2 linked regions of the Daphnia pulex genome follow. The protein of the gene in region 2 purifies or fractionates together with the protein of the main gene of each other region. This does not show direct contact. Links are inferred from orthologs where the notes say so. Each region holds a gene or a part of one and is shown on either strand. Other genes may lie near its edges.

Region 1 (3,754 bases), on a different chromosome or scaffold from region 2:
TATTGAACATTAGTTTACGTCTTTTCAAGTTCTTCAAGACAATCTACCGTCATGGGGACCGTTGTATAGGGCATCGAAGGAGGCACATGCGATACTCAGTAAAATCACTAAAAGAAGCTTTACTACCTAAGGATAATATGTACATAATCATAAGCATCAAAAGAGTTTTACATGTAACAAGGTGTACCAAACGTACCACAGAAAAGATGCTGATAATTTTAGTCCCCGTTTGAAGAGAACAGCCACACCAGCTCTCAGTAAACCTGGGAATCCTCATGGTGAGTTTGACAACTTAATCCCGTTTTCAATACGAGGTTAACAAAGGCTAATGCGACGTTGGTTTTCACTGCGTTCAAACACATAAACGATTGATCTGGCCACCAGCTGATCAGTACAACGGAAAAGCTCCGTTCCGATAACCTTATCGCAACAACTGATAAACGGGTAGAAAGATCAAAGCCGAAGCATCACATTTTCTTTTTTACTTAAGTCGAACAATGTCGTCTAAACATTCTGACGACGGAAATTCATCGACAAAGTTTTTGGTATTCAATTACTTTGTATTACCCAATACTCACATGGATTGAGAACGTCGACCCAAACAGCATGGGCATGTAAACTTATCTTGTGTAACGTGAGCATAGCTCGATATAATAACATGAAAATCATACCCAATGAATAAACTGATAAGAAGTCAGCAGGAAGCTTCACACACAAAAAAAAATACATTTAAGATACACAATTAATTTAATTCGGTGCATGAATTAATATAGAGGATGCTTCATTTTGAATCTTTCGCTCACAATAGTGATTGTTTGTAACTGGGTATTTAACATATGCGAGGTCTCGCGGCTCGAATTGAAAAATCTCCAACAGAAAAAAAGAAAACGACGAATCTTGACGGTGAGTCAACAAAAGCAAACCATTCTACTTCTTTGACTTATCTGAAGAAAAAACAGAAATCATCGAGTCCATGCCTCCAGCAGCGAGGCACACCCGATGTGGATGAAAGGTTAAACAGGAGACAGCTGCAATTTTGGAGCCCAAAAGACCACCGCCGTCGTGATACGCGATAGTAGAACGCACTTCTCCTTCTTGGTCGTGTACGGTAATGTACTGCCCGACAATTCCACTAATAATGAAAACGATGCATGTTAGTGAAAATAAGCATTTTTCCACACAAAAGCTGTTTTACCAAGCAAATAAGTTAGCCTTGGGATGGACTGCCATGGCAGTCATTCCTTGCGAATTAGGCGCTGTGGCTACGGTGAGAACCGAGTTGGGATTTCTAGGATCCATGAACTTGATGTCACCCGCCAGACTTGAGAAAAAAAAACAACTATTAGTTATCAAACGTAATTTCATACAATGTAACGATTAATACGATGAGATGATTGTTACCTGCCACTCACTAAGTTGGCACCTCCTTCAACCGAAATCCATTCGCAATCTATGACCCAAGCAGCATGCTCCCTCCAAGTCATAACTCTAGATTTTGCAGCGCTGCATCGCTGATCAAAAAGGCGGACTGATCCGTCTCCACATGACGCTACAAAGAGCGATCGATCTGAAGACAAAATTATCAATTTAATTTGCGCAAACGATTATATAAATTTCTTAAACTTGGTCAAAACCTCGCGGGTTATGATGAACGGAGGTCACACAATTTTCTGAACCAGTAGGAAAGTCGCTGACTTTCAATTCACGCTCTACGTCCCAAATGCGGATCAAGCGAACATCGCCTGTTGCTAGCAATTGTAAAGAATCCTGATTCCAATCCAAAACCAGACCGGAACATCGAGTCGATGGTGCCATTTCAGCTATACAGTTCCATGCTGAAACAAGAGAAACTCCAGTGTGATCTTCGACAACAGCATTTGCTGATCGAGATCCTGTTCGAATAAAATCCCGCCAGATTCTGCACGACCCATCATCTGCACCAATAAGAAGTAACGCATCATCATGTCCGTTCACAAAATCCATTGATGTAATTCGAGCAGCCCTGGGTTGTTGTTGATTGTTAAAATGGACAAGACGGACGCTTCTTTCCCAGTCCCATACTCTGCATTATAGAACAATTTTCGTCGAGCACAGAAAAACTTTTATCACCATAAAAGAATTGTTTCTTACGTGCATCCTTCTTTATCTGCTACAGCAAGCCAAGGATCGTAGGGATGAAAGCGGATAACTGAAGGTACCAGTGGATTCCGATTGCAGAAAACCTCTTTCATTTTTGCTTTATTTGGTCTAAATAAATAAACATAGAATTTTAAATTAAAAAACCAGGTAAAAACCCTGAAATTGAGTTCACCTTTGACATTCTTCTTTAGCTTCATGGCGAACGGAAGCATTTCTTGTATATCGCCATTCGCGCGTGTAGTACATTTCAGTGTCTCGTTCACGTGTTCTCCCGCATATCTAGTTGAGAACAAAAAAATATATCAATAATAATTCTAAAAAATCATAGAATCCATGTTGAGGTTGTACTTCGAATTCAATAGTTAATTCTTTTTCGTGATTGGGTTTCATATTGATTTGAAAATCTTCATTAGACGCAGCTGGTTCAGCAAAATGACGAGCGCACCATTCGACAAATCCGGTTACTACTAAAGGATCCTTCAACTCTTTGGAACTTTCACCTTCTTCCACAATCTAGCAACGAATAAATAATAATTGAGTAGTAGTAAGAAACATTCGGTTGAGGAAGCCAGTTCAAAATGTTATTACTGTAGATGGTATGCTTCGTTTCCTGATTCTGTTGAATGAGGGAGTAGTGCGTTGGACAAGGGCCCGTGGAGGAGAGTCCCCACTGAAACAAGTCTCAAATATATTCGTTATTTGTACGAGGTATTGTAATAGTATACAGCATTACATGTAGAGGGATTTATCCATAGAATCGTTACTCGAATTGGAATACGTATATTGACGACTAACGTCTGATTCCCGTGAAGCTATCACTTCTTTAGCCTGAAATATGCATGTTATGTTTAAGTGGCTGACCAACTGCGTAATTTTTAAAAAGGAAATACCTTATTCCGCACATAATCCGTTAATTTCTTTGCCATCGTAGAGACTTCCAGGTAAGGATCTTTTTCCATGCTTGAAAGTCCGTGCCAAAGTTTGACGTAAATAGTGTTAAAAGCAAGACTAGGCAAAGTGGAACTCGCTGCAAAAATAAAATTTAGAAATATTTTATTTTAATCAATTTTTGGCTTACTATTAAAATCTTACTAAGGCTACTGAGAGAGGAAATAGAAACCGCTCGTCTAATATGATCTGGATGCCCGGAGTTTGTGGAATGGGTGAAACCACTATCTGATAGTTCCGGACTTGTGCCTAGGTTCATCGCATTGGATGTGGAGGCCCGCGAACGACGCGTGGGCCTCTGTAGACTACCAGAAGAAGTTAACGTTACTTCCACGTTTGGAGAGAGACTGTTCGAGTCTTTATTCTTTTCCTCTTCTATCTGTTGAACAGCCATTTGAATGAACGTGGACTCGAATATCAAAACAATCCACTGGAGAGCGCCAACGATCTTTAGAAAGAAAATTAAATTTAACGAATATTCAATTCCCAAAGCGAAAAGAAGCTACTATACCTCTTTGCGAACCAAAGGACTAGCTTCCGAGTTCACAACATTCACCAGTTGTAAGGCCACTGCGTGATCAATTTTGTTGGCAAGTTCATTTCGTTCCGTCTTTCCTCCACTATGGATAAACGTTCCTAGGGCATAAGCAGTGGCCGCTCGAACCTT
Region 2 (3,754 bases):
TTCAAGCCTTTGTTGCTGTTGCTCCGGCCTCCGCCGTTTTGTACCAAACGTGTTAAACTGATCAGGCCAGCTTCTGTGGTTTTTTGTTTGTTTTGTTTGAGGATTTTAAGGTCGGGTTTCAGTGGTTTTGTGTACACGCAGGATTCCCCACACACAGCGGATTCGATGGTTTTGGGTTTTGTTTTCGGGTTTTTTTTTGTGTGGATTTAACGAAAATTTGCAACAGGCAAACGGAAAGAAAAGAAAACCAAATGTAAACGAGGCAAAAAAAAAATAAAATTTCGTGCACTTAATAATTTGGTTGATAAAAACGAAAACAAAAAATTGTGAATCAATGTTAGGGATTTTAAGACGGAGTCAGCCACTTCATCTTACAAGCCGATTTAAAAAATAAATAAAACACTTGCAAAAGAATAATGAAAATTTGGCGTACCTGTTGCAGCAAGGTTGTGAGCTTTGATACGATAGGACCAATCCTCTAACGCGGTATCGATGCCGCCTTGATTGCCGACCATATTGTAACAAACGTTAGGAGCCGATGTTGATCGTTCTCTTTGGGCTAGAGGTGGAGGGTGGCGTCGAGGAATCTGCATCGGCTGGAATGTCGGCGGGTATGTAAGGCCGGCTGTGTACGGGTACGGTACGGGGCCCTCTGGACACGATATTAACCTATCAAATATTCCATACAAATCAGGATTAGGTCATTGAATGTTTGAAATTCGCCATTTTTTAAATCTTTCTGGAACTTGATAATTTAACAAAAGTAAAAGCAAAAATGTTTCTGTTGCTGACAAAAAAACGCCCCTAAATTTAATTCCAAGAAAAAAAATTCCCAAGTACTTAGAAGACCTTCAGCGTAGTCTTTTGATCTCAAACTATGGCCAAGGTCTTCTAGGTATGCAATCAAATTTTCACTCTACGCTTTTGAACGCGAAAATTGGATGAGAGCAGACTCGCAACGATGTACCAACGCAATTTCCTTTTACGACACGATTACTCACATCTGTAGGAGTGTGTTTTCGGCTACGTGAGCCGGATTGCACAAGGGAGGGACGGCTGCAGCGCAACGCTGATGAAAACGATATCCGCACGTCCGACAATAGAAGCCTTGAAAGAGCAGGCGTCGGCAGGATTCGCAGTAAGCCAAAGAAAAGAATGTTTTGCGCACCTTTTCAAATCAAGTTTTAAATTAACGATTGAAATGTAAACCAATGTCGTCTGATTTTTTGTAAACTTACGAAATTGTGAGATATGCTGGTTGTGGCTGAGAAATTATCCTTAAGTTTAACACGAATCTCTCCACCTTCGACTGAAGCTATATCGGCATCCCATTGTACTTTAACCTTTGGGGAGAAAAATGGGGGAATATTGACATTATTGTTATGCGTGTAACTTGTTTTGTAATACCTCAGGCTGTGTGCATCGATAGACCGCGCACGTGGACGGGTCCAGCTTGCGCAGCTTCATAGCTTTTGAAAGGGCTTCACGCACAGTTTGGCCGGGTTTGACTTGTACGATCGTCCGTTGCTCGTTGGGCAGGTATGCTCGCACTACCGACTTTAGAGGTGATCGAGGAGGAGGAGGGATAGCAATTAAAGGCGGACCGGGAGCTTGTTGTTGATGATGAATTTGTTGTTGCTGGTGTCCATGATGATGACCACCTCCATCTGGCCCAAATCCTGTTTTGAGGTGTGGTGGCAATTCAGCATCGGAACAATCTTCCAACTCGTGACCACCAGGACTTTGTCGTCCATTGGATGCCGTAGCTGCGCTTACTCTTTCGATGAGTTCTTGCTCTCGGGCTTTGAATTCGTGCAATTTGCTTGTCAATTCATTGTATTCCTATTGAAAAACAAAAACCAAGTCATTCTGATGTCATAATGAAATGAGTAGGACATAGAGATTATAGATTTGTTCAAAGACAGCTATGTTTTAGTGGAAAAACTGGCTGCGCTATGGAAAATCTGCAAATGTAGTTTTATTCGACTTTTGATGATAAATGAGCTTTCAGAAGGGAAATTGAGGGGTGGAACTAAAGAAAACTGAATTGCACTTACAGCTATGTACATCAAGGGTGGGTGTTGGAATCCAGCAAACTGTGCATTGAGCGCATCAATATTTTCTTTGGTGAGGCGAATGACACTTTGAATGTTCCGCAGCTGCAAAGAAAACACAAGAAACAATGAATTAGAAAGCCTTGTATCAAGCAAAACACTATTGAAAAGATAAGTAGGCATTTTGAAGTTGATGCTCAATGATGGACCTCAATTGATATGATATTGAATGTCTGTTTTGAGGCTGTCACTGAATCAAAACAATTCAGTGGGACAGTGTTCCCAAGAAACTTTTCCACTTAAAGCGATCAAACCATTGGGATTCTTTTTTGGAGCACTTTGTTTTCGGGAATGGTCCTCTTCGATATGAATTAATTTTGCAGATGGAATGCTTCGATAGCGTCAAAAAGAATAAAGCCAAACATCCCGGTGGAAAGTGAAACGAAATGACATTTCTCAGAGATCTCTTTCCTGGATGTCATTCTTCGAGCGAACCAAACAACACTGTAAATAGATAGTCACCTCATCGTGAATCGTTCCTGTTTCTTCATATTTGCGATGTCTTTTAGGGCTGGGAAGGGTGAAATTCGTCATTGTACTGCCGAGAAGAGTCTCGTTCACGGCCATCTTGGACCGATTTTTTTTCTCTCCCCCTTCTTCTTCCATTTATTATTTTTTTCCCTTTCATTCGCTGGGCACCAAAGTCTTGGCGATCGCGCTAGATGGCTTCAAACTTGAAACGACATCTAGCGGCAACGCATCAAATCACTTTTTTTATTATAATCACGTGATCTTTTGTTTATTGTTTATGCGGAAATGGGAACTGCCGATTGCGTGTATATTATGTAAATAACTGCGAGTGGAGTTGAAGGCTAAAATATTGATATACAGCATATCTATTTATTTTTCACTAAACTAATCAAGTAAAGAACAAGTTGTACAGGATCAAGCAATGCCCTTAAAGAAAAGTGACTGACATGGTAAAATACCGCGTAAATTTGAAAGAAAAACGGCCAGCCATAAAAGTTCCACAAATTGAAACGATGGCACGATGTTTCTGGCTTTCGAGTTGAATAACAATTGTGACTAAAGATAATTACGTAATTGAAATATTATGTCTCAATTGGGTGCTGCTGAGTGAAAGGGTTTTTTTTTTTTTTTAAAATCTAACAACAAAAATGTTTTCCGGTTGCGGCTTCCTTCTCGTAATCATCAGCAATTTTGACCCTGATTAAAGAAAATGTGGAGTAATTTCTATCATGAACGATTTCGAGCAAATGTCAGTAAAGATCCGTCATTTGCAAAACAACAAGGGATTTTACTAAATAATTAAAAATAACGACGGGGTTTCACGTAGCACTGTTAATATGCCGAAAACATGTGCCCGTCAAATTGGACTAGTACAATTGGGAGAAGGAATCGAAACTGGTTCTAGGTTCCAGCCAGCCAACAAAAAAACTAACAAGGAAATTTAAATTTGGAAATATTGTTGAAAAAAACTGAAAAAAAAGGAGTATTCTATCTAAACCTAGAACCCCAAAAAATATGTTTTCTGAGCGACTGGGACTAACGCGCTATCACACCGCATGTTGTTTTTAAATCATAATTCATAATTAATTGACTAAGAGGGTAAAGTTTGCTGAATGATTTTTCCTCAGCTAAACATGAAAAACTGAACTGAATTTGATGGGTTGAATCAA

The links.
Region 1: the proteins of serine/threonine-protein kinase B-raf-like (region 2) and regulatory-associated protein of mTOR-like purify together in Homo sapiens (affinity purification with mass spectrometry; 3 studies listed by BioGRID and IntAct, with this or other methods). This does not show direct contact. The link is inferred for Daphnia pulex from reciprocal best matches to the Homo sapiens genes BRAF and RPTOR.

The regions. Positions count from the first base shown.
Region 1 is NC_060017.1:2,269,674-2,273,427, reverse strand, and holds the end of regulatory-associated protein of mTOR-like, read right to left. Parts: intron 3,752-3,754; coding exon 3,599-3,751; intron 3,536-3,598; coding exon 3,232-3,535; intron 3,167-3,231; coding exon 3,030-3,166; intron 2,968-3,029; coding exon 2,873-2,967; intron 2,810-2,872; coding exon 2,728-2,809; intron 2,653-2,727; coding exon 2,488-2,652; intron 2,419-2,487; coding exon 2,312-2,418; intron 2,248-2,311; coding exon 2,131-2,247; intron 2,063-2,130; coding exon 1,635-2,062; intron 1,568-1,634; coding exon 1,402-1,567; intron 1,322-1,401; coding exon 1,196-1,321; intron 1,133-1,195; coding exon 928-1,132; 3' UTR 197-927; intron 127-196; 3' UTR 48-126; downstream 1-47. UniProt on the Homo sapiens protein: Component of the mechanistic target of rapamycin complex 1 (mTORC1), an evolutionarily conserved central nutrient sensor that stimulates anabolic reactions and macromolecule biosynthesis to promote cellular biomass generation and growth.
Region 2 is NC_060021.1:7,350,891-7,354,644, reverse strand, and holds the start of serine/threonine-protein kinase B-raf-like, read right to left. Parts: upstream 2,734-3,754; 5' UTR 2,721-2,733; coding exon 2,577-2,720; intron 2,160-2,576; coding exon 2,058-2,159; intron 1,843-2,057; coding exon 1,408-1,842; intron 1,344-1,407; coding exon 1,239-1,343; intron 1,169-1,238; coding exon 1,002-1,168; intron 670-1,001; coding exon 434-669; intron 74-433; coding exon 1-73. Other genes in the region: ATP-binding cassette sub-family D member 2-like, read right to left, coding at 3,751-3,754. UniProt on the Homo sapiens protein: Protein kinase involved in the transduction of mitogenic signals from the cell membrane to the nucleus. Phosphorylates MAP2K1, and thereby activates the MAP kinase signal transduction pathway. Phosphorylates PFKFB2.